2 linked regions of the Lytechinus pictus genome follow. Each later gene encodes a partner of the first gene's protein in a complex. Links are inferred from orthologs where the notes say so. Each region holds a gene or a part of one and is shown on either strand. Other genes may lie near its edges.

Region 1 (16,895 bases):
ATGTCCAATGTTGGTTGGACACATAATTACCCTCATGGAGCATTTTCACCCAATATTTTTTAGAGTTTAAAGCCAATTTACCCCAGGGCTGGCTATTGGACATTTTTATACAACCTAGGAGGTGTTTTCTTCAATAGATACAAATGATTTTTAAATCTATTTTCATTTCTAGATTAACCTCGAATTTCTCCGGCGTTTTCATCAATGCTGATAAAGACTATTAGTGAGGTTTCAGAATTTGATTCACCGTGGGGAATGCCAATTAGCCTACACCATGCTAAGTCCCATCAAAATCCTAGATGGTTCAGTGAGATGACATAACTCATCATGCCTCAGCTCGTCACATCACTGCCATTTTAAACTAAGGCTGCCTCAACACAACCATGTTAAAAGTATAAACAGTACCCACAAAAAGGGAAGTAGCCAGGAAAAATTCGGATTGTCAAATGTGATATTTCACACATTTATACAAGAAGATACTAAAACAACAAACATGATCGGGTATAGGTTTTTAGTTAAAGTAATGATAAATTTCAACAGTAAGATTTCTATAATATTTACCTACATGTGCTATGAAAAACAAAGACGGGTCCAAAATAATAAGTGACGTCAAAAAATATGCAAATATGAAAATCTAATTTCCTACATATGTTTATTTTTGTATAGTGTTATGATTCTATAGTGACATTGCGTTGTTTTAATATCTACCTGTGAGTTTGGTGTTAATATTTTTTTAAACTTGACTTTAAAACTAAAACTTGAATTTAAAAATAATTCATTGAAATACTTTTAATTTTTTTAATTTTAATTACTAGTCATACAAACCGCCGTGAACCACCATCGAAACCATCGATATGTGATCGCAGGTAGCAAGTAGAATCTCTGTCTAAAATATCCATATGACCAGTTTTCCTATAAGTCAAATATTGAGGGGAAATAACTTGGAAGAATTAAAAGACAGTATAGATAGGCTCGGAAAAAATGCAATAATTGCACTTTAATGTACTAGTAATTTGATTCAATTTACCGCATTTTGTAAAACTTATCATTTTGTTGTTTAATTCGAATTCTATGCCCTTTTCCGACATTTTGTGAAGGGCCTATAGGACTATCTGATATCATAATCGGTTGTTATTGTTTCAAGTTATTCTTGTTATTATGATTAATATCGTTTTCTGATAATGTTGTCATTATTGCCATTTTCATTATTATTTTTATTGTTATTATTATTATTGCTATCATTACTTTTATTTTTTATTGTTGTTGTTATTATTATTTTCATACTGTACAGATCGTCCAAAGATGGACAGTCATAACTGGTATTAAAATGAGATTTGTCATTAGTTTTTCAATATATACTCTATATCTCTCTCTCTCTCTCTCTCAAAAAAAGAAATGTGTCAAAGCACACGCTTGAATGATGAAATTCGAAAAAAAGGATGATTTTTTTTCAATGTATATTTTCATTATTTTTTTAAAAATCTTCATGACATACTTAGATTTTTTATTCTCCAAGTTATCCTCATTTCACGGTCTTTTTTGACATCATACATACTGTCATCATCAAAGAGCGAATATTTCACTGTCTTTTCAAATAATAATACTTACATAGTACATACACATATAACCTGTATGTATATAACATGTATGTACAAAAACTTGTGTCTTTTAATGTATTCATTGTTAAATTCTAACTGATTTTGTTTGTATTATATTGTTGAAGCAGTGAGGTAATGTTTAAAATGTTACCCATTATGGAATGTCATGTAAATACAGTTTCGTATATACCGTAGGTATAAGTCTACGCATAAGTCTACAAAATTATGTCTTTTAATGTATTAATTTGTTGAATTCTAACTGATTTTGTTTGTATTATATTGTTGAAGCAGTGAAGTAATGTTTAAAATGTTACCCATTATGAAATGTTATGTAAATACAGTTTCGTATATAGGTATAAGTCTACAAAATTGTGTATTTCAATGTATTTATTTGCTAAATTCTTGCTGATTTCGTACAAAAAATTATATGTTTTTTAATGCATTCATTATTTTGTTCAATTCTTATGACAGTTGAAGTAGTGATGTAATGTTAAAAATGTTACCCATTATGAAATGCCATGTAAATACAGTGTCGTATAGGTTTATATGTCTATACGCAACGATATGCCAACGGGTCTTTCATCAAAGCAATTTAATAATTTGTCTTATTATGTCATATATTCTATGTCTATTATAAATGTTGTCATTGCATATAGAGAGATTAATGTGTTTTTTTAAATGAAGCAACCAGTGGCAGCATTTTCTATTTTTCTACAAAATTATTATGTAAATACATTGTAAAAAAAAGAAGATGTACATAATTTTTGGGATACAAAGTTACAAGTCTTTCATGTTATTATGCGCATAGTTGTATCAATAATATTTGCTAATTTCTAACTTGGATTTTGTCTTGGGAGCCGTGAAATAATATTTTGATGAAGATCAATGGATAATCACGCACAATGTAAATAGCTATGATTGGAAATCAAGTATTAAATCGATGACGGTTGTGTTTATCAACGAAATACCAAAGTGCAATAATAAAAACTAAAATATAACAAGGCTAAACTGAAATATAACAATACTGATAAAAAAGGCTTTCGCTCAGAATAAAGGTGGTTTCGGTCAAATAAATACTAGTATTTGATAATAATAAAAAGGTTTTGACTACAAAACGAAGGTGATTCTGATTATATTTCAGCTCTTCTGATTCAGCATACCTATCAGATTTCCAGGGGGTGCTGCCCAAGACGAGTAACACACGCAGCACCCCCTGGGTATATCAGCATCCCCACTTCACAGGGTCGTGATTTCATTTAATTGTATCTATGATCTTTCGTATATACCTATACGTAATAGTGGTTACGACTTTCAGTTAGTGCTTTCGATTACCAACCATGTCGTGTATTCTTTCATCAAGCAATTTACCCACATTGTGCTGTACTCGACCCAGGTGCATGGCCCTGGGAAGCGGGGGTGCCACCCCCCCCCCAAATTACCTTAAGGGTGCTGCGTGTATTATTCTCTATAGGCAGCACCCCCAGGTATTCTGGAAGATGTGTAAAAATGTTTTTAAAAAATATAACCAAAACGAACTCTTTTTCTTTCCAAATTTCTCGGGACCAATTTGATCTCCATTTTGGTTGTGAAAACTTTTTTTTTTCCTTTTAAATTTACTTCAGCACCCCCACTCAATAAAATCGTTCCCAGGGCCCTACCCATGTGAGGTGAATTAGTACCCGGTAGGATTTATTTCTTGAACGCTTTAGCGCCTATAATGGCGGCTCAGCTAATAGCCATGGTAATTACCAAGTATCAAGCGCAGTAGAATATATGCATATAGGAACTGAGCTATATTAATGGACCATATTATTATTATTATTATTATTTATTATTATTATTATAATTGTTATTATTATTGTTTATTATTATTATTATTATTATTATTGTTATCATTATTATTTCACTTCATTTCCTTCTATTTTTACCTCTGTTCTTTTCTTGACTGTACCCCCATTGCAGAACAGCATTTTGACACAGCAGATAGATGTTGGGCAACATACTGTCCTCTGTGTTGGGTAATGTATGTTGGAAGCATATTCGTATATAAATATATATATATATTTATAGGCAGTTATTATCCAGTTGAGCAAATTTATTACCCAATTATTAGTTTTTATTACCCAATTTGCACAGATTTTAACCGATAGTTGTGTGGACAGTATGTTGCCCAGGGTTGGTTAAAAGTTGGGCATTTTTTGCCCAATTATTTTAAGAGTGTAATCCAGCTCGTTTATATTTCCTACAGTTATGCAAACTGTAAATATGTAAGCCAATCTGTATCGTTGTGTTTGTTTTTGATTTTTCGAATCGGAAAATAAATAATACTATTTCTACATGTATTAGAGTGTATTGTCTTTATTTACAGGTATCGATTTCTTCCATAATTTTGGGCTTATGAAATATGCATGGATCGTAAAAAATGCGAACAGATTCGTATCAAATCAAATTATAATTTTCCTACTCTTTATTATCGTTCCATGACATTTTCTCCGGCGACATGCAATCGCTCCGATGGAAAATCAGCACGTTAACCCTAATATAAATAGACTGGGCCATTTCGTCGCCTAAGACGACGGGGGGGGGGGGGGGGGAGGCTGAGACGAAAATTGGCACGCGCTACCCCTGGCATAATATGCAAAACTATAAGATCAAATTCTGCGAAAAATCTAAAAAATTATGGTTATTTTGCTAATTTATGCATAAAATCAAAAGGGTGCTCTGATGAACTAAATATTGCCCCTAAAATGCTAATTTTGGGTTCACATATAGGAATCTGATCAAATGCGTTTTTAAAAATTTAAACATCTCATTTATTTTCTCATGTATTTTATTATTTTTTAAATTTCTTATGTAGGCCTAATTCTTTGTTTTTCGAATTTTTGTTTTTAATTGTTAAGTTTTTTTCCAATTGAGATTGTCGGGGAATTTATTTTGACCATAAACAAGATGAAATTGATCGATTTTAATCAGTAAAAGGAAAAATAATGATACATTTATGAATTTGGGCTAAAAAAACTATTTGCATTAGATTTGTACACGAATCCACGTTTTTGAGCAATTTTGGGTCTGTACACTAAAAAAATAGATTCAACTTTGCCCCCCCCCCGAGTTTGCACCTTTAAAGGTGCAGACCAGAAGTCACACTGGGTGCAGCTTTAAGGTGCAACTTTGTACCTTTTTGGAAAGGTGCAACTTTGCACCTCTCTGAAAGGTACAAAGTTAAACCTTAAAGGTGCTCCCATTGTGCCATCTGGCCCCCGTCTTACAAAGAATTGCGATTGATCCGATCAATTGCAACTATGGGAGGCCAGCCAAGTCAACACATGAAATGCATGTTTGTTCAAAAATTGTTCTATATATGAATGTATATCCATAAAGTCATTGATTTCTTGACAATTTGGTGTGTTTTCCTTTGTTTACAAAGGACATTTTGCAAATTTCCTGTAGAAAATATTATGACACTGATGGATTTCCATAGAATTACTATTGATTGCATGGATCAATCGTAACTCTTTGTAAGATGGGGCCCTGGTCTGCACCTTTAAAGGTAGTGAGTGGGTCTTAAAAATTGCTGCACTCGTTTAAAATTATGTGCATATTATATTCACAAAGGAAAATGAGGGTGACTAATCAATAGTGAAAAAAAAAACACTTCACAAATAAGGAAAAATATTTCTTTATATATCAAAACAAGTATAAATGAGGATTAAACGGTGAGATGTTTAGAGGTAAGATGTTAGTGGGAAAGAATAGGATTATTATTATCCAAAATAGAGTGGACGAATGATGCTATCACAGATCACACTGTAACTCCCCCTAAAAACGTGTAAATAACACGATGATGCAAATATCAAAATAAAAAGACTGCAGACACGAAAATTTTTGAATAAACTTTAAAGGGCAAGTCCACCCCAAAAAAAAAGTGAATCTGAATAAATAGAAAAAACTCAAGTATAATGCGGAAAATTTCACCAAAATCGGAGATAAAAAAGAAAGTTGTAACTTTTATTTTTTTAATAGAAAAACATGTCCAACGTAATATCAAATGAGAGTATGGATGATGTCACTCACTATTTATTTTGTATTTTATGCAGCGGCGTACCTAGGATTTTCCAAAAGGGGGCAAATTTTTTGGAGGATATTTCGTCCGCGAAAAAATTCGACAAGCCCCCCCCCCCCCCAAAAAAAAAAAGGTCTTCAACCACAAATAAAGGATTTCGTACCAGAAAAAAATTTGACAAGCAAAAAAAAAAAAAAAAAAAAAAGTCTTCAACCGCAAATAAAGAACATTTCCTACCAGAAAAAAATTGCCCCCTCCCCCTTAGGTACGCTAGTGATTTTATGGTAGGAAATAAAGAATGTTTCAATTTTTGCAGATTTTACTATAATGAAGCATGTTTATGTTTAGTGAATTAAGTTATTTCATATTTCATCATTCCTTTCATTAATTTGCATAACGACCAGAATATGCAGCTAACTATTTTATGATGTCATAATTTTGCGATGTCATAATATAACTTTATTTTACATCCGATTTTGATAAAATTATATTAATGATATTTTCTCTCTTCATTCATATATGGGGAGGATATGCCCTTTAAATTTTTATTCAGAGATAATGCAACATTCTAAATTCTGAAAAAATTTCATTCTATTTGGAATGTTTTTTTTAAATTATTATTATGTTCACTAATGCAATTAATGGAAATGAGGGGGGGGGTCCACTATAATAGCAAAGCTTGTAAAGTGTGGATCCCCCGTGGAAATGAAAAAAAAAAATATTGCCGACTTATTCATGTATGCGTATATATGCAGGATAGAAAAAATGAGAAGGAACAAAAAGAATTTGAACTAGACAAATCAGCAGTCACTAGCTAAATTAGCTCTTCGTTTTTGAGAGTTATTCAGGACATTGATTTGATCAATGTTATCAATAACTCAACGTACATTTAATGGGCATGATGGGACAAGGCCTAACGATCTATTTGCAAAAATTGTCCCAGGTTTCCTAAAAAAAAGTGTGAGGATCATGCCCCTCACTCTAGTGTATTTAAAATAATGTTTGAATTGGTTTCTGTTTTTTAAAGTTAGTAACAATATTTAAAAGCATTTACAAACGTACTTGTTTCATCATAACCACACACTTGATGCAAGATCATTGATGAGTTACTTGCATTGTTTGTATTTATTCCATATATATGAATATACTTAACTATCACAATAGTCTGTAATTACAGGTATGTCTTTTTCATTTATATCATTATTATTTTAATTGAATTAATTATTTATTATTCATTAATTTATTTATCTGTTCATTCATTAATTTGTCATTATGGAATATATTCAACTTGGTGATAATTCATAATTGGTATGGTGTCGAAAATCTGTCTATCTGACGGTCAATTGGATCGGGGTCGCCCTAGCCACTAACCCGTCTCTGTGGTCTAGTGGTTAAGGCACCGGCGTTCAAAGCTGGGGGCCCGGGTTCGATTCCCGGCAGAGACATTTTTTCGGCATCACCAATTTTTCCAAAAAGGGTAGATAGCTCTGGGGAACCTTGATTTAAGCTACGCCTACCATTGTTCTCTTCATCCATTTCTTTCACACAATATTTAAATATAAAAGAGTTGCCAAAGCTTAGTACATGTATAACTTCACACATTTATATATATATATATATATATATATATATATATATATATATATATATATATATGTTCAAATTTAACAAATCATACAAATCCTGTCAAACATGGAGGATGGCCCATTTCAGCGGTATTTACAAAATACCCCTGTTCTTCCTTGGGATTTTCCGGGGGATGTTGGCGCTTCCCTCTGCTATTGAACTGAATTGAATTGAATGGAATAACTTAATTGTCCATAAAAGAAATTCTTCTTTTTTTCACTGGTTTACACACATGTAGATACAATGTATATACACAGAACAAAGGGAGTGCTTAGCTGGGTATTCTTTTAACAATAAATGCTATGCAAATTGCAAATGGTAAATAAAAACAACTATCATCACTGTCTAATACTATCGCCATTTTCCCCATTTTCGTTGACACAGTTAAAGACACAGTAACGATAACATTTTTTGCCATGGCCGCCTTACCGAGTCCCGTCGTCCTAATCAGGGAGTAACAAATACAGAATGACTCGCAAATTTCTGACATTATCCTTCCTTTGCAAAATCACCTTGTTCTTGATTTGGTTTTGAACAACTACAGAAAGAATTTGAAGATTTGAACCTTGATCAAGTTTGAAACGTTTGCAGTATGGAGGTTCTTTTCTTCGACACGCTAACCCACGAAACGAGTGAGGTGAGTCCACCCAATCATGGCATTGGCAATCGGCAATAAGCTAGCTCCGCCGCCTATGGCTATGCAAGGCGCGGCCGACGGCCGGCGAGGCGCGGTGCGGATGGGGCTGGAGTAGCCAGACAGGAGGCTCTTAGAGAGTAAAAATCATTCACTAACCAACATGTGCTGGCGCTAGTGTAGTTTCGCACCTCCCCGTTTAATGGTTTTCAAACATGTACAATCTCACCCTAAATAATTCACAACCTAAAATACTTGCATCTGAGCCTCCAAAGTCCAGTAGAAGTTGAATATTTGCCGTTTTGACATTTTTTTAAACAAAGTTTTACACCTATTTCGGAATCACTCGGTCGCTTGAAGCTCAGCGCTGCACGCACATAAGCAGTCGGTACGCGTACAGTACGTACCACCTAGTGACGTGCAAGAAGAGCGAGTTTTTCTATGGTATCTTCAAAAAGATTTTTTCCCCTCTTTCAGCTTGCACCAAGTATTACGGTAGTGGTTGTGCAGAGTGGTTGATGTTTGTTGTGTGAATCACTGTGAAGGTGTGTGTGGGGTGTGCGTATGTGTGCTTGTTTGAATGAAATAAGAAATGTGAAAAACCACTACCGTAATACTGCACTTCACTAGGTGGTACGTACTGTACGCGTACCGACTGCTTATGTGCAGCGCTGAGCTTGATCAAGCGACCGAGTGATTCCGAAATAGGTGTAAAACTTTGTAAAAAAGTGTCAAAACGGCAAATATTCAACTTCTACTGGACTTTGGAGGCTCAGATGCAAGTATTTTAGGTTGTGAATTAATGTTGTAAATCGGATCAAAAATCAGATCGAAAATCGGATCGGCAGTTAAGCTTCTAAAATCGAAATCGAATCGAAAATCGAATCGGCGATGTTTAAAAACAAAGGAATACATCAACATTTTGTTCGCGGTCGCGCGCATCTTCCTGACAAAGTCACAAAGACGAATGTTTAGGAATGGAAGTAGTCGACATGCGCGATCGTTTGGAACATGCTTTTAAAGGGTTTTGAGGTTTAACTGCTTAACAATAAAATGAGTGATTTTTATAAGAAAGATAAGCGAATGACGCATCTTCCGAGCAGTCGCAAAGGAAAATAATTCTCGTAGATCACAGGTCAATGAACGATCGGCGGGACATCTTTTATAAGTATTTTTATGTGAAGCTGAGCTCAGCTAAGTTCGCTCATTATAATATGTGATTACAGCCACGCCCAATAACCATTCCAAAGTACACCCATTTTGTTATAATAGCTTACTTGGTACATCATTTCTCCGAATCAGTTCTGGGAAAAGTTAAGTCACGCCTCAGTATCGATCTTTTTGTATACCCACCCACTCAACAATATCAGTGAATTACGCAATGCGCGCAAGCATTCACACAATACAAGATAGTTTTGTGGCATAGCCGAGAACTGGAACCGCCCAGACTCAACGGGCTAGCGCAAAATTCTTTACACTACCTTTTGGCATGTGCACGTGGTGGGTTTGATTGACACTGCTAACAGTGCTATTCTTTGAGTTGGCTCACTGGCTGGATTAATGACAATATATCACTGCAAGTATGGCTTACATGATACATACAACACGCAACACATCCATACACACTGCTCTCAAACTCCCTTGCTATTATTCGTACCTAGGCCGTGTGTGCACTTATGGGCGGGATTTAAGCAGGGCATTGACTAGCATATACAACACATCCATGCACCCAGCATTCATATACATTTCTCAAACTCCCTTGCTATTCGTCCATTGTGTGAACTCATGGGCGGGATTATGACAAAAATTAGCGCAAGCACTAGCATACGTAATACACACAATACATTCCTGCACCCACGCGGTCACACATAGCTCTCAAACTCCCTTGTCATTCGTCCATTGTATTCACTCATGGGCGGGATTTATCAGCGTAAGCACTAGCATACATAATGCGTACAACACATTCATGCAGTCACACACAGCTCTCAAACTCCCTTGCTATTGGTCCATTGTATTCACTTATGGGTGGGATTTATCAGCATAAGCACTAGCATACATAATGCATACAACACATTCATGCACCCATGCAGTCACATACAGCTCTCAAACTCCATTGCTATTGGCCATTGTGTGCACTCATGGGCGGGATTATGACAAAAATTAGCGCAAGCACTAGCATACGTAATACACACAATACATTCCTACACCCACGCGGTCACACATAGCTCTCAAACTCCCTTGTCATTTGTCCATTGTATTCACTCATGGGCGGGATTTATCAGCGTAAGCACTATCATACATAATGCGTACAACACATTCATGCAGTCACACACAGCTTTCAAACTCCCTTGCTATTGGTCCATTGTATTCACTTATGGGCGGGATTTATCAGCATAAGCACTAGCATACATAATGCATACAACACATTCATGCACCCATGCAGTCACATACAGCTCTCAAACTCCATTGCTATTGGCCATTGTGTGCACTCATGGGCGGGATAAATGACAAACACAGTACAAGTACATGTTCATTGTTTGTATATTATACAATACATTCATTCCAAGTTACACTCCTGCCATACCAGTCAGCGCAGCTACCGGTAGGTCATCATAAGTAGGTCAACCTTTTATGAGTCATTTCTGACATTCTAGGAATCTCAATTGTTCGAACTATTCGATTGTTAAAAAGCTCTAAATAGCTAGCACCTCTGCAAGAACAATCTTGAAATATGTTCTGACCGCACTGTAACTAGATCTACAGGTATGCCGATTTTTTATATCCGATTTTTTCCTTCAAGGGGCATGATCAAAGATCGGCAAGTGATCGCCGATTGTTGTGAAATCGAATGGAATCGGTTGCCGATTGCAAAATCGGTTACAAGCTTATTGTGAATTATTTAGGGTGAGATTGTACATGTTTGAAAACCATTAAACGGGGAGGTGCAAAACTACACTAGCGCCCATGTGCTTACTCTCCACGGAGCAAGGGATTGTGTCCCATTCATGTGGGTGTACCGCAAAAAACCCAGAAATGTTCGCCCCCAAGATTTCTACTTCTACACGTTCTAGACAGCTGCCAGCCGCGCCGTGTGTTTCGAGGAGTTTTTTAACATTTTTAAGTTTTCTTATTTCTCCTCGTACACAGACGGCTGTGCAGTCACCATTATGATTAGGGGGTTAACAATGCAAAATCCCCCGGACGGGGCTCGTCGATTTTTGTCTTTATTTCATAAAAATGTATAAAAAGAACTGGACCAAATAGAGATAATATTCCGTTTTTGCCTGAAATGCACCAAAACAGGAAAAAATAAAATTAAAACTTTGGGAAAAAATTGGTGAGTGGAGCCAACAGAGTTCAGTGGAACAACCAAACAGAGACCAAAGCTTTAAGTTTTGGTCTACCTCTAAAGGATCTAGCCCTATAGCTATATCTAAATTATGTACCGGTAAATGGGATACAACTTCATTTCCGACATTTCTACAATATTGATTTCATTTTTAAACAAGAATTAATTAAAACGATAAACTATGCCAATTTTTTTTTTTACAAATTATTTTTCACTTATTTGTGGTATATATTCTGAAGATCCTTACCCAAGAACAAACTATCACTAAACTCATAAATACGAAAATCCCGACATGTTTTCCGAACACCTTGATTTCGCCGCCCGATGTAGAACTAAGGGGTTCTAAAGCTAGGCACTTGATTTATCATGCTAAGAAATAGTATTTCCTGTGCTTAATATTAATAGGAAAATATGAAATTAAAGTGAATATAACACCAAAATTCCAAAGGCCAGTATTCTGAAGTCGGGTTTAACTTGAACTCGGGTTTAAAGTTGTGGGTTAACTATGGATAGCCAATTGTGACAAATCACTAAGAGTAGATATGATATTTCAGCTCATTTGACTCTCAAATCATCCCCCATTGTCTAGGAAGTATAAATAAGATAATTGTCTTCACCATCAAAGAATCGGGGAAAGAGCACAGTAAACATAAGAAATACACATTATAATAAAAATGTTGACTCTTGGCTTCCCATAATTTTAGCACAGAGTTAGACCATGGTCTAAGTTAAACCCGGCTTCAGAATACGGGCCAAAGAGTTGCTGGTTTTCTCTGCATTTAGTGATTTATTGCAGCCTCTGTGGAAAGAAATTGAATAGGAATCATAATGTCACTCTGCAGTCACAGCTTCACACACAGAGTGTGTATTTTGCAATAGATGTTGCATGCGCAATGAGTGGCGCATAGCTTTACATGCTGGTTCCCATTTCAGCGAGTACAGTAGAGTAATATAGTGTTCCTGCTGAAATGAGAAGCAGTGTGGAAAATTCTCCATAGGGTTTCGCACACTGGTTCCCATTTTGAAGAGTAGAGTATTTATAGTTCATAAGTGAGATTTATTTCATCAGTGACGATTCTTAGAGATAAATCTCACCAGTAGTAAACTGTCTTCATTTACTCGTGAAAATGGGAACCAACATGTACAATTCTGGAGAATTTTCCATAGCTTATTTCTGTTTTGAAGAGTAGATAAAGACAGATTACTAATGAGATTTATTTCATCAGTGGTGATTCTGATGAAAGAAATATCACTTGTAAACTGTCTTTATCTACTCCTTAAATAGGAACCAGCTATGGAAAATTATCCAGAATTGTACAAGCTGGTTCCAATTTTCATGAGTAGAACCAAGAGTTTATTAAAATGATTGATCTTCATATATATCTTGTTTGTGATTTATTTAATTAATCAATTTTGTGATCATTTTTTTTTCACCATTGTGAAAGTGGCAGAGTGGTTTTGAAGAGCAGGGAAATGCAGGGTAGATGGATTAATCTCAAAATTATAATTCCACATTTGATTAATTAAACCCTTGTGCGGAATCGCCGATGTCATCTGAAAACTTGAAAATCTGGGCCCAATGAATATCGCGCGAGGAAAGAGGGAACCAGTTGTGTGAAGAGCTTCACATTGTTAACAAAGCAATTCGCATCATTTCTTTTGAAAATCGCCGAAGCGAGGTTTCTTTATAATATCGTGCTGAAAGGAGGTACAACTTTGATTTGGTGAACAGTTCCCAAAGCACAGAATGGCCGTTCTGTCTGGCGATAGGCCCAATGAAAATGATAATGCGCAATTAAAATGAATTTCTATGAATGATAAAAATGTCAACAACAAAAAGCCAAGCCCAACAATCAACAAAATAAAATTACATGTAAGTCTAACATTAGGTTAGGTCTAGATGTAACGTTAGGTCCAAACTTAAGCCTACATGTATGCAGGGTGCGACATAAGCGCTTGCCCGATTGCCCGGGGCAAGTAAAAGTTAGAGTCGGGCAAGTGTTTTGAAGTAAAGACCAAAAATACTTGTCCGAATCGGGCAAGCAAAATTCTCACTGTGAAATGAAATTTTACAAAGTTTCCCAATACTTCACACTAAAAAATACAGAAGAAAGAGAGAAAAAAACAAGTTAACAACTTCCCTCAATTCAAATTGCAAGCCACTTTGCAACATTTTTTGTGATCTACACACAAAAACACACACAGAGTCAGCATACATACATGTGGCTGGTGCGCCCAGCCTCCAGCCTGTGTGGCAGGCATGCATGGATCTCCATGCTGCTGTACACACCTGTACTATCCCGATCAAACTCCAAATCTAAGTGAACAAGCTCACATGAAAAATAGTTTTTCCAACAAAATAATCACAAAATCGGCGGGAAATTGATATACTTATATGGATTCTCAGATTACTGATTTGGTGATGTGATCTGAGGAGCAAGTTATTGAGTTTTGTAGTGGAAAGAAAGATGCGTGCAAGTCTACGATGCCGCGATGATTCATTTGATTTTTAAGTTTGTGAATGTTTCTCTGTGAATTTTTTTTCTAAAACGTTTATTTTTCCAACAATTTAAAAAATATATTTTAGATATTTTTTCAGCAAGATTTTTGTTTGATGATTGCATTTTTTTGTTTTGTTTCAAATTTGAGCTTTCTTCCTCTTTCTTTTTCTTCCTTCCTTAATCCTTACTTGCTACCTTCCTTTCTTTTTTTCTTTCTTTCTCTTTTATTCTTTCTTCATCCTTTCTTCTATGTTTCTCGCTTGCCTTTTTTTGTTCCATCTATCTTTTCAATCTTTCCTAGCTTTCTTTCCCGATCTTTTTTCTCTCTCTGTTCATTTTCCTTTGTTTCCTTCGTTTTCTTACATGTACTTTCCTTCTTTTTTTAAAATTTCTTCATTTTTTCTTTCCTCTAATTTTTCTTTGCTTTCTTCTCCCTTCCTCTCCTTTTTCTTTTTGTTCTTTCTTTCCATCCTTCCATTATTTTCTTTTTTTAATTCTCTCTTCACTTCATTCTTTCCTTCCACTAAAGTTTCATCCTTTCTTTTATTCTTTATTTTCTTCTTTCCTTTTTTTCCTTTTTTTTGCTATTTCCTTCTTTCCTGTTTTCCCCTTTCTTTCTTTTTTTTTTTTTTTTTTTCTTTCTTTCTTTCAAAAAAATGCAGGATCTTTTTTTCTTCATTCTCTGTTTCTTCCCTTTTTCTTACTTTTCCCCCTTTTTTATTTCTTTCCATTCTTTCTTTCACCCAGTAATTCATTTTCCATTCCTTTCCTATTCTTTTCTTTCCCTTTTTCTTTATTAATTTCAAAGAATGAAGGAAACCTTTTTCTTTCCTTTATTCTTTCTTCCTTCTCCATTCATCTCTTTTCTTTCCTTTTTTTCTTTCTCTCGTTCATCCTTTCATTCGCCCATTCGTTCACCTTATCTTTTTCTTTCTTTCTTTCCTTCCTCCTTCCTTCCTTCTTTCTTCTTTAGTTATTTTCAGTGATTCCCCTTTTTATTTTGTGTCACGGTCATATACAAAAGCACATGAAAATATATGAGAGAGAAAATTAATCAAATGGTGTATTGACACCAATTTCGGTCATAGGAGGTAAAATAACTTTTAAAAAAAATATTACAAGGTACAATAGTTCACGTTAAAAAGAGAGGAAAGGGGCAATGGTATACAAAACCGTAGTACTTTCTTTTGAAGCGGTAAAACATTTCGAAGGATTTTTTTCGGGCAAGTGAAATGTATTTTTGGGCAAGTATTTTCCAACTATTTAGAAATTTACTTGCCGGACTGGGCAAGTGCTTCTAACAAGTTATGTAGCACCCTGATGTATGTGGAAAAAATTGTAATGTAACTCGGCGGTTGCTTGTGTTTCCTTGAATTTGAAAGACAGATTTTTGGTTAGTTGTATTTCGAGAAGAAAAGTCAGAACAGATCTAGGTTCATGAGGTCAAAATCAAAGATTTTTCTGTGGTAAGTGACAATGCATGTTGTAAAATAATGAGATTGGTGTGTGTTGTGTGAATATGCAGAAGCATGAAGTTTACTTTGAATCCCAGCTCTGGCCCAATTTTGGACACGATGGGGATTTCACCAAGTTTTATATGCTTGTTTGAGATTTACGATTGTCTTACATCTTTGAGACTTAGTATTATTGTGCTTAATTTCAAGCCGTTTGAGTTTTTATCTGATATCTGTCTTTATTGTAGGAGGTGAACATGGATCTGGTAAGGTTTTCCATGCCTGTATGTATCCATGAAGTGAGGGTGATACCCAGGGGGTTTAGCATCCATCCTAGCATTCATGATGACACTGGAATGGGGTAAGTTCATTCCCATCGAGTCAAAATTTCAAAAATTCTGTAGCCTTTGCCCCAACTTTAATTGAAAAAAAAGTACATGTTGCTTTATGAGTGAACTATGAAATTTCCTATTCATTTTAAAGCTTTTTGTAAGCAAAACTTAGCATTATTAGATATACATTGGAAATGCTTGTGCATGGCACCTGAAAGTATGTTTGGGAATTTTTGTTTAAAAAATTCTTTTAATAAATACAGTGTACAAAAACATTATTTTCGACCAAAAATTTTATTTGGCCTAAAAATTCAACAATATTCAGATAATTGGCTTTACAATGTCACGTGAAAGGTTATTTTCGTTTGCGTAATTTTAGTACAGAGCTAGGAAAAAGCCACAGGCTGTTTTTATGCTTACTTGCTTGTAAAGAGTCAATGATGTACAGCGCGTCCCAAAAAAAATGTCCCTCTGATACGAGGCTGGATCACTTCCAAACTTGAGAATTATTCTCAATAAATGTGTGGATATAGGAAGCTCATCTCATGTTCTAACTTCTATAAAAATTTCTTTGGTCTCGCTTCAGTGGTTTTGAATACTCAGTCTATTATGTAACAATGGTGCTTTTCAGCCCATTCCAAGTTTACATGCATTCAGCAATGCTGTATGTTCTGTACTTTCGAGCATCATCAATTCCCACTGATCATTCTGATGAGGGAATTCCCTGATCTGACCAGGGAAATCTCCATGATCTAAACAGGTTCATCAAATCACAATATTGAGCATGTTCTGAAGGACAACTGCATTTGACAGTTCATTTCATGTTTGATAATAACAGATACAGAGATGGAGACAACAGGTCATGTCTGTTTCATGCTTAATTCAAAAAATAATTCATTCCCGTTTCCATTACCCTTTTTTTTATTTAATAAGCTACTGAGGTCAAGTGAATTTTTTTTTCACTGGTAAAGTTCCCTTACGCAAAGAGTAACTTGTTGATTCCCCTTCATTGTTCACCTCATTTTACTCATCAATCATTCACAAGTTCTTTCAAGTTGGTGCACTGATTCCCCTTAATCATGTTAATCATAAAAAACTTAATTTTTAAAGTTTCTTGTTCTTCTGAACATGCCCAAGTTTATGATTTGAAGAGTCTGGATAGGATTAGGTAAGTGTCCATGCTCAGATCCTGGATGTAAAATTGGGGGTTAACATGCCATAGACAATGAAGAAATAATGCTGCAAACTTGGAATGGGCTAAAATGCACCGCTGTTACGTAACAAAGTGTATATTCAAAACCGCTGAAGCGAGACCAATGAAATTTTCATAGAAGTTAG
Region 2 (16,434 bases), about 26 Mb from region 1:
CACTGAGCTGTTGGTCTAGGTTTTAATTTAGGCCTGTTTTGTAGATACCTAGATCTAAACAAACTCCCCAAAATGTATATAATAAAAACTCCTCCAAACAAACAGATGGACCTAAAAAAGAAGTAGGCCTAGAATGCTAGATCTAACTTAGTTAGATCTAACTTTTTACATAGATTTCTAGGTCAGGATTATAAGTTTAGACGTAGTTGGCAAGCAATGCATAGCGATAGGTCTAGCAGTAGCACTGTAACTTGTTAGACAGGAATATCCATTGTTTCTAGGGATTTATTTAAAAGTTTCTGACATTTACTGTCATGTCACATTGGTGAGATTGGGGTCTAGGCCAACGTAATGTTAGACTGTCGAGTGTCTTACTCTTACTCGTAGTTTAGCAGAAAACCCAAAATACAGATGGAGACTGAAGCTTTTGGTCTAACGTTAGGCCTAACTCTAACTAAGTCAGATAGTGAGATAGGGCCTAGTCCTACATTGACATGTAAATCTATCCCTGTCCTAAGCTAAGTAAGGCTAAGCCAGGCTTAGTCCCGAATGTTGTTCTAGGCCTAGACCAATACTATTTAGGTCTAGATCTATGTACTATATGTAGCTTCAGTCTCGGTTGCTCCACTAAGTATGGCATCCCACTGGCACTAGACTAAATAACATTGTAAGTGTAACAGAGTTACGTTTTGCAGCCTTCCTTCATGAAAGTAAAAAAGTCAAAACAATGTTCAATTCTCCTCAAAACAGACATATATTTTATAGATCTTGGGCCTAGGCTAGATCTAGGCCTAATGTTAGACCCAAGGCTAGTCTCAAAAGTTACAAAAGTTTTCCCTTAGGGAGCCTAGGTCTACTTAAACTGAAGTTAAAGTAAACTGTCGAGAGGAATTTATAGTTTATATTTTGACAAATAACAATACATGAAAAGTAATAAATGGGACTGATACACAAAGAAACTGTGCAAGTCACTCGGTTTGGGATGAAATGTTTTGGTAATTAACAAAATATATATAATTTTAATAAAAAGTTCTTACCATATATGGGTGATAAATGCTCTTCTCTTACTACAATAGTTGTAATTAGTTTCAATAAAATCCAAAGTTTTAAGAAAAAACAACTTCAGTGACATTTTTGCAAGTTTGTTGCAGTCACCCCTGCAGCAATTTATTATTGAGAAGGTCGCTGAAGGTCATAGAATTTGAGACTTTGGCTTAGCCATATCGCCTGACTTGAGACAAATGTCTTAAAGTTTATAGAATATCGCTAGGGAAGATTTCTTAGACAAGCAAAATGCTAAGACAAATTGCTAAGACTTAAGCAAAAAGCTTATCTTGTTTATGGAATACGGGCCCTGGGCCCGTATTCCATAAACGAGATAAGCATGCTTAAGTCAAAAATCTAAGCATTTTGTCTTAGTTTTCTGTCTAAGACAAAATTCTTAGCCAAAACGCGTATTCCATAAAGAATTGGCTAAGAATTTTGTCTAAGAATTTGGCTAAGAATTTTTGCGCGACTAAGACAGATTTAGGATAAATGGCTAAGTAACTTTTCTTAAATATGCAGAGTCTGTATTTCATAAATTCTACATGGCTAAGAATTTTGCCCTAACTTTAAGACAGTGGTGAGTTGTCTTAATTGCTTTAAGACAACGTTTAAATCCAACAAATCATGGCCAATTTTTTTTTAGAATTCATACCTATATTGCATTTCGAGCTACTTCCTCAGTTTTTAACCAATTTTCATGAAATTTGGAACACACATTGGTCTTAAGGTAAGGAGGTGTAAGAATTTTTTTTGCTTTTTCAGAAATAGTGTTGCCATGGTAACAGTATATTATGGCCAAAATTTAAAATTTAAATTACTTCATCGGTTTTCTACCAATTATCATGAAAGTTGGCTCACACATTGGATTTGAGGAAAAGATGTGCAAGACACAATTTTGCATGTGTCGGAAATTGTGTTGCCATGGTAACAGTATATTATGGCAAAAATTATGTATAAATCTTGCTATTCCAACTACTTCCTCAGTTTTTAACCAATTCTCATGAAATGTGGCACAAACATTAGTCTTGATGTGAAGATGTGCAAAACATATTTTATGCCTATATACAAAAATTGCGTTGCCATGGTAACAACATATTAAATAACGAAAATTAGGTGAAAAATTTGTGGTTTTAACAAGTTTACAATATTTCAACCACTTCTCATGATGTTTGCCACAGACATAAGTCTTGAGGTAAAGATGTGCAAGACACATTTTCGCATGTGTCGGAAATTGTGTTGCCAAGGTAACGGTATATTAGGGCAAAAATTATGTAAAAATCTTGCAGTTCCAACGACTTCTTCAGTTTTTAATCAATTCTCATGAAATGTGGCACAAACGTTAGTCTTAATGTGAAGATGTGCAAAGTATATTTTATGCCTTTATAAAAAATTGCGTTGCCATGGCAACAAATAAAATAACAAAAACTAGATGAAAATCTTGTAATTTGAATTACTTTATCAGTTTTCAACTGGTCAATTCTCCTAAAATGTTGGCGCACACAATAGTCTTGAGTTGAAGATGTCTAAGATATACTTTTGCCTGTATCAGAATTCGTGTTGCTATGGTAACAACATATTATATAAAGAAATTAGGTGAAAATCTTGTGGTTTGAATCCCTTTATTAGTTTTACCAATTCTTATAAAAGTTGGCTCACACATTGATTTTGAGGTGTAGATCTGCAAGACATATATTTGAAAATTTGTTGCCATGGTAACAGCATATCAGATCAATAAATGTGTAAACAGCATGATGTGTATTGAACTACTTCTTCATTTTATGACATTGGCCTATATGTCCATGAAATGTAGGTTTTGAGCTAAAATAATCTGCAAGACACATTTTCTCATTCATCAAAATATGTGTTTGTATGATAACTACATGTATACGCCAAAAAAGATTAAGACAATGGTCAATGACAATGCTAACTTTTGTTTGGCTACATAGAGAACTACATGTAGCTGAGGGCTTAGTTCTAGTTTTTTTTTTTTTTTTTTTTTTTGGGGGGGGGGGGGGCTAGACCTCAAGATTTCGAACTACAGCCCCTAGTTTAGATCTAAGCCTAGATCAAGATTCTTTAGTCCTAGAAATAACCCAATGCTAGATCCCTAGCCTACTTCCTTTCTCAGGCCTAACGTTAGATGAGTAGAACTAGACTAGATCTAGCCTACATTTACTATTTTTAGATCTAGAATCTACATTGAGATAGAGTCTACAAGTCTCTAGATCTACACCTATTACTATGACCCTATGTACACCTAGATTGGTATAGTTCTAGATCTAGATAGGGTCTAACTTTTAGTCTAAGTGAGTAAGTCATTTAGTCTAGATCTAGGCCTAGGTTAGAGATTTCTAGATCAAACAGTAGACTAGATCAGCCAGTCCTAACGTTAGGGCTACCGGATAGGCTAGAAATAAAATCTAGAATGAATAGAAGAAAGCACAGGCTAGGCCGCCTAGGCCCTAGATCTAAATTCTTATATAAATCTAGGCCCTAGTCTAGACTGAGCTGTTGCCAGTGTTGGTCTAGGTTTAGGCCTGTTTTCTAGTCCTGGAAACCTAGATCTAAACAAGTCCTCAAATTCAAAATGTATAAAATAAAAACTCCAAACAAACAGATGGACCTAAAGCAGGAGAAGATCTAGATAGATGTCTAGACTACTACTAGGACTAGATCTAACTTTAGGCATAGGCCTAGTTGGCAAGCAATGCATAGCGATATATCTAGCACTGTTGACAGGAATAACCGTCGTTTCTGGGGATTTATTTAAAAGTTTCTGACATTTACTGTCATATCACATTGGTGAGACTAGGCCAACGTAACGTTAGACTGTTTAGTGTCGTACTCGTAATACTAAAATAGCGGAACAACCAAAATACAGTCGGAGACTGAAGCTTTTGGTCTAGGCCTAAGTCAGATCTATTCTAGACCTACATGTAAATCTAGATAGATCTATCCCTGTCTTAAGGCTAAGCCAGGCTAAGTCCTGCATGTTCTAGGCCTAGACCAATACTAATATAGGTCTATCGTTAGATCTAGGCCTAGTATGTAGCTTCAGTCTCAGTTGCTCCACTACGGCACTAGACTAACAAAGTTACGTTTTGGCTTTTGCTTCAGCCTTCAGGAAAGTAAAAAGTAAAAACAATGTTCAATTCTCCTCCAAACAGACGGATATTAGTTGTAGATCTTGGGCCTAGGCTAGATCTAGGCCTAATGTTAGACCCAAGACTAGTCTCAAAAGTTACAAATGTTTTCCCTTAGACCCTAGGTCTACTTCAACTGAAGTAGAATAAAGATGTCGAGAGGAATCTACCCTATCCCATTTAGATTTTGACAAACAATACATGAAAAGTAATGAATGGGACTGATACATAAAAAACTGTGCAAGTCACTCGGTTTGGGATTGAAATGTTTTGGTAATTAACAAAATATAGAATAATCTGAATAAAGAATTCTTACCATATATGGGTGATGAATGCTCTTCTTTTACTACAATGGTTGTAATTAGTTTCAATAAAATCAAACTTGTTAAGAAAAAACAACTTCAATGACATTTTTGCTATTTTGTTGCAGTCACCCCTGCAGCAGTTTAGAAGGTCATAGAATTTGACTTTGAGACTTTGGCTTAGCCATATCGTCTGACTTGAGACAAATGTCTTAAAGTTTATAGAATATCGTTAGGGAAGATTTCTTAGACAAGCAATATGCTAAGACAAATTGCTAAGACTTAAGCAAAAAGCTTATCTCGTTTATGGAATACGGGCCCAGCTGCCTGTGATTTTTTTTGGGGGGCAGCAATTGTTGTATATTTGGAGACCAATGAACATTTATTCAATGAATAACAAGTTATATATTGATAAAACAAACATAAATTTACAGTGTAAAGTTCACACATAGGCTATGCCATTTTAAAATGGATACATTATTTTTTAAATAATAAATTCTCTTATTTCTTATCTATGACAATGCATATCAGTAAATAGTTAAGTATACATGATCAGAAAATTTATTCATTTAGAAAAATGAAATATGTGTGAAGCAAAGGAACTGAGCTTGAGAGTATCTCAAATACATGTCCATTAAAAATAAATTATAGATGAATCAAAATTCAAATGGATGCAAAGAAATATTAACCTGCTCCACGGAGAATGACTTCTTGCTTGAAGAATGGAATTTTCCATGTGTAATGGATGGTTCTTCTGTGATCTCCGGAGCCTCGTGTTTCAGTCCAGTGAGTGTAGGACTTGCCTTTGCATATTACCTTAATACCTGCATGTAGTCATGAGAGAGACAGAGAGAAAAGGGGAGGAGAAAGAGAAAAGGGGAGCGAGGAAAATTGTAACTCTATCACTTTTTATTTCCATGAATGAAGTTTTTGTCAATTCCGCTGGTTACATATATATGCTCTGTAGGTATACCAGAATATGCAAAGCAAAGTATTCATTAATTCTTGTTTAATGCATAAACCTAGTAACAGTTAGGTCTTTCCTTTCTGCAAAATTTTCATTCTGTGATTGGCCTTTAGGCTTAAAAAAAAATACTCATCACTATATTTGCATTAGGAACATGTGTACTACCATGGATGGAGTAAGAATTGCACATTGGTGAAGATGCGCCGGCATGATGCAATTATTCTTTTTTAAACTTAGATCCATTTCCGGGGATCCATTTGTATTTTCAAGGGAAGGATTCAGCAATCAGTCATATTATAAGTTGGATATTTGTAATCATATTGGTCATGTTTTTGGACTGGAGCAAAAATGAAGTCAGATAAGTGCAGACTTTGTTCTTTATATTAAACTAAGTCAAAATTAAGGCATACCCCGTTACTAAGAGTTGATTGGGTTAAGAACTTTATCTTGATGTCCTGCTCCAGGGGTGGTATTGAGGTATTCTGAGGTAATTTTATCTTTAAAATATTTCATTTTGTCTTCAAAAATGAAATTGGTTTTCTGAGATGACATTTTATCTCTCAGATAAAATATGAAATTTTAGCAAACTTAACTTCATTAGATCTACATATCTAAAGATTATACGCGACAGAGCAGAGCCTACATAGAAATATCCATCGCGTATCTAGCCATTGCTACGCAGATGATGTGCGTGTACCCACGTTACTTTGAAGAAGAAACTTAAAAAGAAACTTAAAATAGGGTGGGGCCTCTTTTATCTCTGCGTCGTCCAATCCAGCATGGTTTCTAAGTGAATTAGCTCTAAAAGCTTGAAGACAAATTTGAAAGAAAAATTATATCATTGAGAGTAATAGTATAATACCTGAACATTACTCCTGTATGATAAGGAATTATTTCATAATATTTTCTGGACTAATAATTGTCTCTAAAATGATGCTGGTGATGATGCGATATTGACATTGGGACTCTGTGAGTATTGTCATATTTTTAAAAGAAATCTCTGTAAAAATGCCCTAGCGCATAGTGCAAGCGTATTTGAATTCAATAAATTGACATAATCTTGCTCCTTTGCCATACCTCCTGGCGGAATGGATATCAATGATTAGTTGAGTGAGATGAAAGTGCTATAATTATAAAACAATTGATGTTTCTCACTTTCTCATTGGATATTACTTCAAAAATAGACATGATAGATGTGTCTTACAGAGATTAAATGAAGATAAACTGGTTCTCAGAATACCAATTTGGAGAGATTTTATGGATATTTTATCACACTCATTTTAACGAAGATAAAATATTTTATTTTATCTGACTCTGAGATAAAATGGATATTAGAATTCAGAATACCACCCCTGGGCCCCAGTACAGTACCACTACAGAGCTCTGCTGACGCTGGACCCCAGGAAATGCGGACCTCTTTGTTGAGGTCCTGGGGACGATTCCACGAAAGGGTCTTTGCCAGAACGGCATTATCCTGGTTTAAGTAACCACTCCATCTCCCATTGACTATGTACACAAAGAGCGCACACACACACTGACACACACAAGAAGAGAGGTGACTTATTTCAAGATAAGGCTGCAAGAACCGTCTTCCGTGTCGCCCATTTATGATGCGCCATGTGAAACGCATCTTAAATAAATTATGATGGTCACCGTGGTCCCTATAAGTCTGCGCACCTAGCTACCGGTATATGAGTTAAGATTTAACACGAATTTCTTTCTATTTCACAAAATCTTTCAGTTAGCCGGTAATGATGTTCCTGATATTATATTAGGAGTATTAAAGTGTGCCAAATATCTCATAAAAATTTGAAAGAATATATAGGATTTTCTTGGAGAAATCAGAATGAAAAAAAAAATGGTACCCCATGTCTGCGCACCCCTTCACTTTGCACACCATTCGGGGATTTTGATGACAAAGGCTGCATTTTAAGGCCGTCACATGAAATGCCCAAAATTCATTATTTTTCCAATATTTTGAGTCGGATTGTTTGATGAATATCTGTCTATGTATTGCATTTGTAAAGTCTGTGTTCGTTGCGTATCTTCTTTTACTAGAATTGCGCAGATAAGCATGTGCGCAGACAAGGGGGACTGCATGCGCAGACTTGGGGGAACTTGCCATACCTGCAAACATATTTTATTCATCCGATAAAGTAAACAAAAATAATAATCTTTGTTTATGAAATGATGTGATATATCTTGAAATTGTATACAAATTGATTTAAATGCTATCTCACAAATTTTATTTGTTTATCATACATTTAAGAAATATGCCGCATACAGCGGCCTTGACCTTGGTCTTGGAAAGACCCTTTCGTGCAATCGGCCCCTGATGATCTGATCTGACATGCATACCGCAGTATGGTTGGAACTACCCCTTATCGACCATCTAATCTTCTAAGCATCGTATCTGCGATCAATTTTACCCAGTTTTCGTCTCATTTGTGCAGAAAATTGAGCAGATCAGATTCCCATGTTTCGCTCGGCGACTCCGATTCAATCCGCGTATATATCGACGAACAACGAATACGACGATTTTACATTTGCTCATTTGCACCCGTCTTTTGAAACCGACCACCCGCGGTACATTGAGTTTACGACCGATTCTTGTCGCGGTGGCAAAATATTTTTACTCTTCCAAATCAGTTCTATGATGTCAACATGCTAAATGATCGTCTCACTACTTCCACTGCGAGCTCCGACACATGATTGAACGATTGACGACGGATATTTGTTCTAGAGCCGTTTCCTATTGGATTTCTTGGTTTTTCAGCGGGGTTTAATTGGGTCTGGTCAATACAATTTTGATTAATTCTACTAAATTTTTACTTCTTGTTGCTTCTTTTTTTCTCGTAAAATCAATTCTTACCGTTTCTATGGACACTGCGCCTACTCTCCCGTGCGTATCGTTAGTAATACGCAATAATTTTAACGTGCGCAAGGTGGTCGGTTTCAAAAGAGGTGGTCGATATGTGGTAGTCTCACCATACCCCTGTTGACCAAGCCATACCCTTAGTTCCAAGGCAATTGGCAATTCCTCCTACTTTAGTAGGATGGGGGGTCGGGTGTCCGGACACTTTATCTTTTTGAAGCCTTCTTTTTTGTCTTTGGATTACACTAAAAATATGAATTCAATACTTGTAATCATCTTCTGTTTTGTTCTTTATAATATTTCCTAACGTTTTGTACTAAAAATTGATGAAACTTCGCTTGTAATTTTTTCCAAATGACTTTCTAAAATTGATCGTCCGGACACACAACCTGTCCGGACACACAACCTGTCCGGACACACAACAACTGGGTATACTTACCTCGAATGTCTCCCTTTTCTCCCGTCAAAACTATCCTTGCGTGTCCCTGGATGGTATCCCCTGGTTTGAACACTTCATTGCTACCTTCGAAAACAACCTCAAATACCTGCAATTTACCCATTATTGAGTAGGTCTAGCTAGACCAAAGTCAAAGACAAAATGATTTGTTGACGATAGAGATCGCGTCACGGCCACACCCAAGGTGGTTCCCCATGTTCCTCTCGATCTCGCGCTCGATCCGATCCGCACTCGCGCCGCGGTGCCGCTCTATCCCTCTCTTCAAGCCGTGCATGCGCAATGCAATTCTTATGCAGATATCACGATTCTGTGATCGCAGCTATTGAAATTACATGTGAGCTGAATTCCCAACTGAGGATTAGACTGTTGTTGAATGGCAATACTGTGATCATATTCCTCTTATTGTAACACTTTATCGCCAATCAAGGACAATGGCTAGTACTTTGGAGGCTCTTAAGAAAAAGAGAGAAGATTTAAAGGCCAAGTTGATGCGAAGGAAGGAAATTACAACAGGAATAACTGGTGAGTTGGAAAGGACTGCCATGACTGTAGTCCCATAAGTTGAAAATTATGTAAGGCGGCATACCGTAGATTATTCTGATATTGATTTTAATTTAATACATACATTTTATCACAAAAATATATTTTCCTCCCAAGGTTATGTGACTCAAGAGTCAAGATGGTTGATTGTTCGATCATGTTTCATCATTTGGAAACTGGATTCGCTTTTGAAAGTGAAATATCAATGTTCTTTTGTAGAAAAAAATGGAATTGGAAACTTTTCAATCATGTTTCATTATTTTGCTTTTGAAAGGGGAATATCATAACGTTAAATGTCGACTTTTTAATTAAAATGCAAAAATTATGTTGCACTTGCAGGGCTGCCAACTTTTGAGTAGCATGGCATTGCATTGACACTCGATCGCTTGTTGTGCCTCGCACAAAAACCCCGCTTCATAGTAAAATTTCGACGTCACCAGCTCTCATATACTAATATAGTCATACACGGGATACAGTAAGCCAATCGCAACTCAATGTCTTGTCTTTGCGCAGCAAACCGAAACCAATTCGCATTGATGGTTTAGCTTTGCGCTTGTGTGGTTAAAAACTTTGAAACTTTTGCCTGTCCGGGTTATAATGTTATTGAATATCCGATATAGGCTAATAAACTTTTTTCTCTCTATTTTCGGGGTTCAGCGTGAGAATCGGGTGAATTGTGTGAGACTCACGCAGATTGCGTGAGAGTTGGCAGCCCTGTGTTGTTTAATTTTTTCACTCTTGAAAGAAAATGCATGAAAACTCAGAGGAAAGAATATTTCATTTCCACATGACTGTATGAGCTTGGATTTAGATAAAGAAAACAAGTCCACACTGTAGTGGTTTCTAATGCCTCTGTATTGATATGTCCTTTTTCAATTATATTCGTCAGAGAACAAACCAGTTTCACTCAAGTTGGAAGTATCAAGTTCACCTATTCCACCTGATAGTGTGCCTGCACAGAGTAGTAGTACATGTACCTCATCAATACAAACAGGAATAAAACAAGAAGATGGATCAGCTCCAGTTCCTATTCCAAAGGTATTCTACAGTTGGTCAAGAAGGTTTAGAATTTATGGTAGTATACTGAATAGTGTTCTCATCGTTTATCGTATCATTTATAATCTTGGAAGTCAGCAGCAATTTCCTAGTCCCAATTTACTTGACTGAGTCAGAGCAGACATGGTTATCTATTTTTACCATTTGCAGTAAAATTGATTGTAGACATAGTCAGATTTTGCTGACATTGCATATTTGTAATGTTTGATGTATTTTCTAATGCAATACCTGACTATTCCCAATGTACTACCACAATAAATTTTTATGAAGTGGCCCTAGAGGCCAAAATCAATGAAAAATGTATTTGAACAAGACAGTCAAATATTGATAACTCTCAGAATAAATTCAGTCTTGCTTGATTCCTAAGATAATGTACTACCATAGTCTAAAAATTCTTTACCCTTAATTATATTTTAACCATCCAATATTGCCTTTAAACAAAGGAAATGTATGATTACTGCTGTAGATGTTGAATAGGCCCGATAGATATATTTAAGGAAAAAATGGTGTTCTTGTCAAACACAGCTCATAAGATTGGTTGAGTTTGTTGTTTTACTCTTTACACACCAAACATCAAATCAGTTTGTGTATTTTCCTTCTGTGCAATCAGAGACTTTGGAGGCATAGACTCAAACACAACTTACATTGCAGCGAACATTTCTGTATAAATGACAAAAATCCATTTTGCAGATATAATTGCCCCTATGCAAGATGCTTTACTTGGTTTATGGTGTAGAACTGGCCCTGGATAGATCACTAAAATATATTTTCTAGATATTTGTCAAGTTTCTGTCAATTTCTTTTTTAAATTGCCCATATGCAAGATGCTTTACTTGGTTTATAGTGTAGTACTGGCCCTGAATAGATCACTAAAAGATATTTTGTAGATATTTGTCAATTTTTTGTCAATTTTTATTGAAAAAACCCCATTCTTTTGCTATAGCTTCTTGCGGTAGATACAAATGATAATATAAAAGCTGATAATGTAAAGAATAATTGTTTTTCTTTATGGTGGTGTTTTTCTGTAGAGCATTGCTGTAGTTGTTTGATAGGAATAAATCATAAAATCATGCATTTTAACACAAGGTACATGACATCCCTTATAGATGAAGTATATATATTTTGTAGATGAGAGGATACAGAAATTGCTGAGAAGATAAAAATATAATGTGACTCATAAAAAAATGATCATGTTTCAGAGATAAATCGCTTGAAAAAAATATTACTTCAAAAAGAAGGGCACTTGTCTGAAAATGAGGGACACATTGCAAAATTTATGGCAAAGGGGGATGCCACCTGTGCCCCATGACCCACAAATTACTGATAGTGTACATGTAGGTCTTTCAGTAAGAATACACTTGTTCCTTTGATTTTTATCCATTTTTTATTCAAACATGTGTTGTAAACTTACAATTGCATTGTAATGATCATACGCATATTTCTTAGAAAATTTTTCCTCAGTTACACTACTGTTTCAGGATTTTATATTATCTTGTAAATGTTAGAAAATATAGATTTTTCCAGGTCAATGAAATACTGTATTTACAGGTTTAAGAACCTGTGTTACTTATCTTTTTTCTTTATTTTTCTGCCCTCCAAAGTATGTCGCTGATCAGTTTACTATTCATTTCATTTTTTCTTCTTAATTTACCAGAGTACTGTACCTGCAGGAAGTCAAGGTATCTCTGATGGGACTGAATCCAGGAAAAGAAAGAGAGAAGAGTAAGTCATAAAAGGAAAAGATTTAATGAATCCACTCTGAACATGAAGCATCACTTCAGTTCAATGAGTAGAGAAATGCAGTACCCTATTGACTTTTCAGTGGTTAAAGTAGGATCTATCAATTATATTCTGTTTACCCTATTTTAAGAAGTCCAAACAAATATTTTCATTACCTCTACCGCTATGATACTGTGCATCAGATCTGTGCCCAAACCAATTAATTTTATAAGGATAAAATTTACAGCTCAGTTTTTTTTTTTATTATATAACTACTATTTGATAACAATTTTGATGTAAATTTTCAAGTCTTTGATCTGTGTCTAAGAACAGGGGTGAAATGAATTGTACTGTACTTTTTTTAAAACAATTTTGGGACCTAATATTTCTTTTAAATATTAAAGATTAAAGTGGTTTACCATAGTAATTCTAGTGGGTATATATATCAGATAAGATTACATGATCAAAATATAGCATTCTGAGAAAGGAGTGTTAGAGTGAGCAATTTGAAACTCAGGGGGATATTGTACTACCTTCAAGGTTTAGCATTCTCGCAAATAGTAATTTTGTAAATTACAATAAATGACAGATGAAGTTAGTCAATGCTTAATATCTCTCTTAAAATGGACCAGCTTTCTCCCATTATGAACTATATTATTTATTGATTTTTATGTGCATAGATCTGATTCAGATCAGGATATTGGACCTACTTCTACTGCCAAACAGTCAGCTGTAAAATCAGAAAAAGAAGATGAGGTTATTGACCTAACTCTAGAGAACCTTCTTACCTCAACATCATTTAAAGAACAAGAGGTAATATATTGGTGGCTTATTGGATTATTAATTGTTCATATAATTTTTTTGACAAATATGTTTTGATAATAATAGATTACTTCAAAAAAAAACTTTATTAATGAATAATAGAAAATATATTTGTATGGGTCAAATGTACTCATCTTTTAGGGATGTTTCTGTACCTTTTTATTTTAAAATACTAGTAATTGTACAACAATAAATGGAATCTTATTTTGTGTAATTCGAAGTTATTTTATCATAGGTTTATTGCTTTTGACTGATTGGAGATCATTTATTTTGAGTTTTCGGGAGAAATTATTTCAAATGATACAATAATAGATTATTAGAGCAATAAAATCGTAAGATGAAATTGTACCCCTCCCCCCCCCCCAATAAAAAAAAGGAATAGTTTTAATATTGAAATAATAGTAATAATGATAAATCAAGAGATAGGAGAAATTCTGAAATGGTAGGATTATTCAAATCTAATGTAATGAAGGTATATCTGAGTCTATTTTCAGAAACAAGTACAAACTTGTTATGCATGCTGACCGTAAATTAACTTGATTTTATTCTTGTTTTTACAGAGTAAAGAAATGGGACAAGAGATACATGATCTATTGAGTATGCCAACGGCTAAAGAGAAGTCAATTAAGGAGGCTTTTAAGTCAAAAGGAGGTTTGTTCAAGTTCATACTTTTTTTCAAAGATAGGTAAAAATTAAAGCTGATCGGTTTAAAGAGCTTGGAACAAAACAGCTTTCCACACGCTTAATTTTACCCATGTGTGGAAAAAGGCTAATAGGAGTGAAGTCTAATAATACCTTAAATGTCAATATTTTTGGTTGCAAGGCCACTTTTTTATAGGGTACATTTCTATTTTAGGCCCCTACTGCCTAAATGGTAAAAAAAAATTGAAATGTAGAAAATAAAACAACAAATCTCCAAAGCCGATGAGAGGTGATAAAGGCCAATCAACGATCGCGGGCTTCGATTAATTTTAGCTCTGTTTACCTTACTATTTTTAAAATTCTTTTCCTTCAAATTGTCAGGTACTGTTCATGAATTCTGTTCGCATGGTACAAGAGATGAATGCATAAAAGTTTCTGGAGCATCAAATTGTAATAAGGTAGGATTTGATCTTTAAAGTCTTCATTATAAATATTTAAAATATAATTATGTACACATGCAAACATGTATTGTGCTTCTACTTGTTTTCATTGGGCCTTACCAAGAGACTATTTGACGTGGAGAAATGTTTTTTTAATGTTTGTTACTTGTTTAATAGATATGCATACTCTGCTTGATTATAACAGAAGGTATATTTATGGATATCAGAATGAGGTTAAACCTTGTTTTGGTCATGTTTTATTATTTTTCAATTCTTGTTTCAAATCTCTATTTTTTTTTCTATTCAAATTTCACAACCAATTTGATAAAATGTATTTAAATTCTATGTTAATGATTGAACGAACAGTGATATTTAAGAATTCTATTAATTTCTAACTTTTTCCTCTTTCTTTTCATTTCCAGCTTCATTTTAGGAGAATAATAAACAAACACACTGATGGTGAGCTTTTATTTATCTATATAATAACATTGTATGTAATTGGTGTGCTATTAGTGTCTTGGTGTTGTTTACTTCTTTTGACTTTCCCTTGTAATCAGAGGGTCATGTGATCAAATTCCATTGATGCAATAGTGCCCTTTGCCAAGGCATCAATCTATACTTAGTCAATCTCCACCTATGTAGTTAATAGGTACTAGTAGAATGCAAACGTCAATGTTTGTTGGATAAGCTATTTGCATGGGTTGACTGCTAATTGCTGGAATAATAATAGGGTTTTTCATAAATGTAATTAGTTTCCAGTATATATCTTTTTTTAGGTCATTGAGACGAGCATGCATTTTGATGAATACTTTAGATATGATTGAGTTTATATGTATATCCTCTTTTCCCATCTAGAGTCCCTTGGAGACTGTTCGTTCCTGAATACTTGTTTTCACATGGACACATGCAAAGTAAGTACAAGACATCTGAATATTTATGTTTCATCCATTTTTTTATTTAAAAAATTAACCAGTATTGTTTTATAATAGACTGTCTATTCTGAAAGTTTCTAGTGCAAGTGATATTCTATTTGCATTCAGAGGAGCTTTGATATCACCATGAAATGTCATATAATTGAAGTTGATTACCCATGTAGTATGTATATTATGAAGATAAAGAGTCTAGCCAGAGTGGTGATCAGATTTTGCACTGTTATGTTTTTTTTTACCATATAGTATGTACATTATGAAGTTGAAGAAGGCTAGTAAGAGTGGCGATCAGATTTTACACTGTCTTGTATTTATTTTCACATGTAGTATGTACATTATGAAGTTGAAGAAGCTAGTAAGAGTGGTGAGGAAGAGAAAGGCTCATTCAGAGGAGCTTTGATATCACCATGAAATTTCATATAATTGAAGTTGATTACCCATATAGTATACTATTATGAAGATGAAGAGCCTAACCAGAGTGGTGATCAGATTTTGCACTGTTGTGGTTTTTTTTACCATATAGTATGTACATTATGAAGTTGAAGAAGGCTAGTAAGATTGGTGATCAGATTTTACACTGTCTTGTATTTATTTTCACATGTAGTATGTACATTATGAAGTTGAAGAAGCTAGTAAGAGTGGTGAGGAAGAGAAAGGCTCATTCAGAGGAGCTTTGATATCACCATGAAATTTCATATAATTGAAGTTGATTACCCATATAGTATGTATATTATGAAGATGAAGAGCCTAACCAGAGTGGTGATCAGATTTTGCACTGTTATGTTTTTTTTACCATATAGCATGTACATTATGAAGTTGAAGAAGGCTAGTAAGAGTGTAGATCAGATTTTACACTGTCTTGTATTTATTTTCACATGTAGTATGTACATTATGAAGTTGAAGAAGCTAGTAAGAGTGGTGAGAAAGGCTCTGGTCCAGTAGCTCTACAAAGAATGAACAGTAAACTTGGTCCAAGTGTCATGACGCCCCCGCAGGTAAGCTCACAAATCAATCTTTGGTCTTAAAAAATTGACAAAGCACAGATGGTGGACATGTTTGATTTTTTTTAGTCTGCATTTCATCAATGATACATGAATGAAAGGAAGCAAGGAGTACAAAATATTGTGAGAAAATAGTGATTACTCGAAATAAATAGGCAAATTCTTATTTATTCAACTGTCTTCTTGATTATTCATTTCTAAGTTTCTTCATAAATAGTCAAGTTTCTACCATGCACTTATATACAGTGGTGTTTGAAAGTTAATGAACCCCACCAGAAATGCACTCCTTCGTACTGAGTGTTGAATGAAGACAACAACAGTACAATGTTCAGCGAGCACAGAGATACAAACTTTATTGAAAGTAATATTTTATCACCTGATTTCACAATGAAATATCTAAAACGTGGCAAAAACCTGAACACTTGAAATATGTTGGGTTTTTTTTCGGAGGGGTTCACTACCTTTTTAGCACCACTGTGTATTCCTCATGGTTT

Evidence for each region.
Region 2: protein virilizer homolog (region 1) and N6-adenosine-methyltransferase catalytic subunit-like share a complex: the UniProt entries of both Homo sapiens proteins name them as parts of the WMM complex. The link is inferred for Lytechinus pictus from reciprocal best matches to the Homo sapiens genes VIRMA and METTL3.

What each region holds. Positions count from the first base shown.
Region 1 is NC_087246.1:52,273,751-52,290,645, reverse strand, and holds the start of protein virilizer homolog, read left to right. Parts: upstream 1-7,677; 5' UTR 7,678-7,879; coding exon 7,880-7,924; intron 7,925-15,473; coding exon 15,474-15,586; intron 15,587-16,895. Other genes in the region: uncharacterized protein LOC129270772, read left to right, coding at 173-211. UniProt on the Homo sapiens protein: Associated component of the WMM complex, a complex that mediates N6-methyladenosine (m6A) methylation of RNAs, a modification that plays a role in the efficiency of mRNA splicing and RNA processing.
Region 2 is NC_087246.1:25,852,578-25,869,011, forward strand, and holds the start of N6-adenosine-methyltransferase catalytic subunit-like, read left to right. Parts: upstream 1-8,750; 5' UTR 8,751-8,773; coding exon of another isoform or gene 8,774-8,894; 5' UTR 8,895-9,222; coding exon 9,223-9,313; exon of another isoform or gene 9,314-9,412; intron 9,413-10,220; coding exon 10,221-10,369; intron 10,370-12,041; coding exon 12,042-12,109; intron 12,110-12,786; coding exon 12,787-12,919; intron 12,920-13,488; coding exon 13,489-13,579; intron 13,580-13,951; coding exon 13,952-14,028; intron 14,029-14,432; coding exon 14,433-14,469; intron 14,470-14,865; coding exon 14,866-14,921; intron 14,922-15,820; coding exon 15,821-15,934; intron 15,935-16,434. Other genes in the region: arrestin domain-containing protein 3-like, read right to left, coding at 5,182-5,316, 8,774-8,894. UniProt on the Homo sapiens protein: The METTL3-METTL14 heterodimer forms a N6-methyltransferase complex that methylates adenosine residues at the N(6) position of some RNAs and regulates various processes such as the circadian clock, differentiation of embryonic and hematopoietic stem cells, cortical neurogenesis, response to DNA damage, differentiation of T-cells and primary miRNA processing.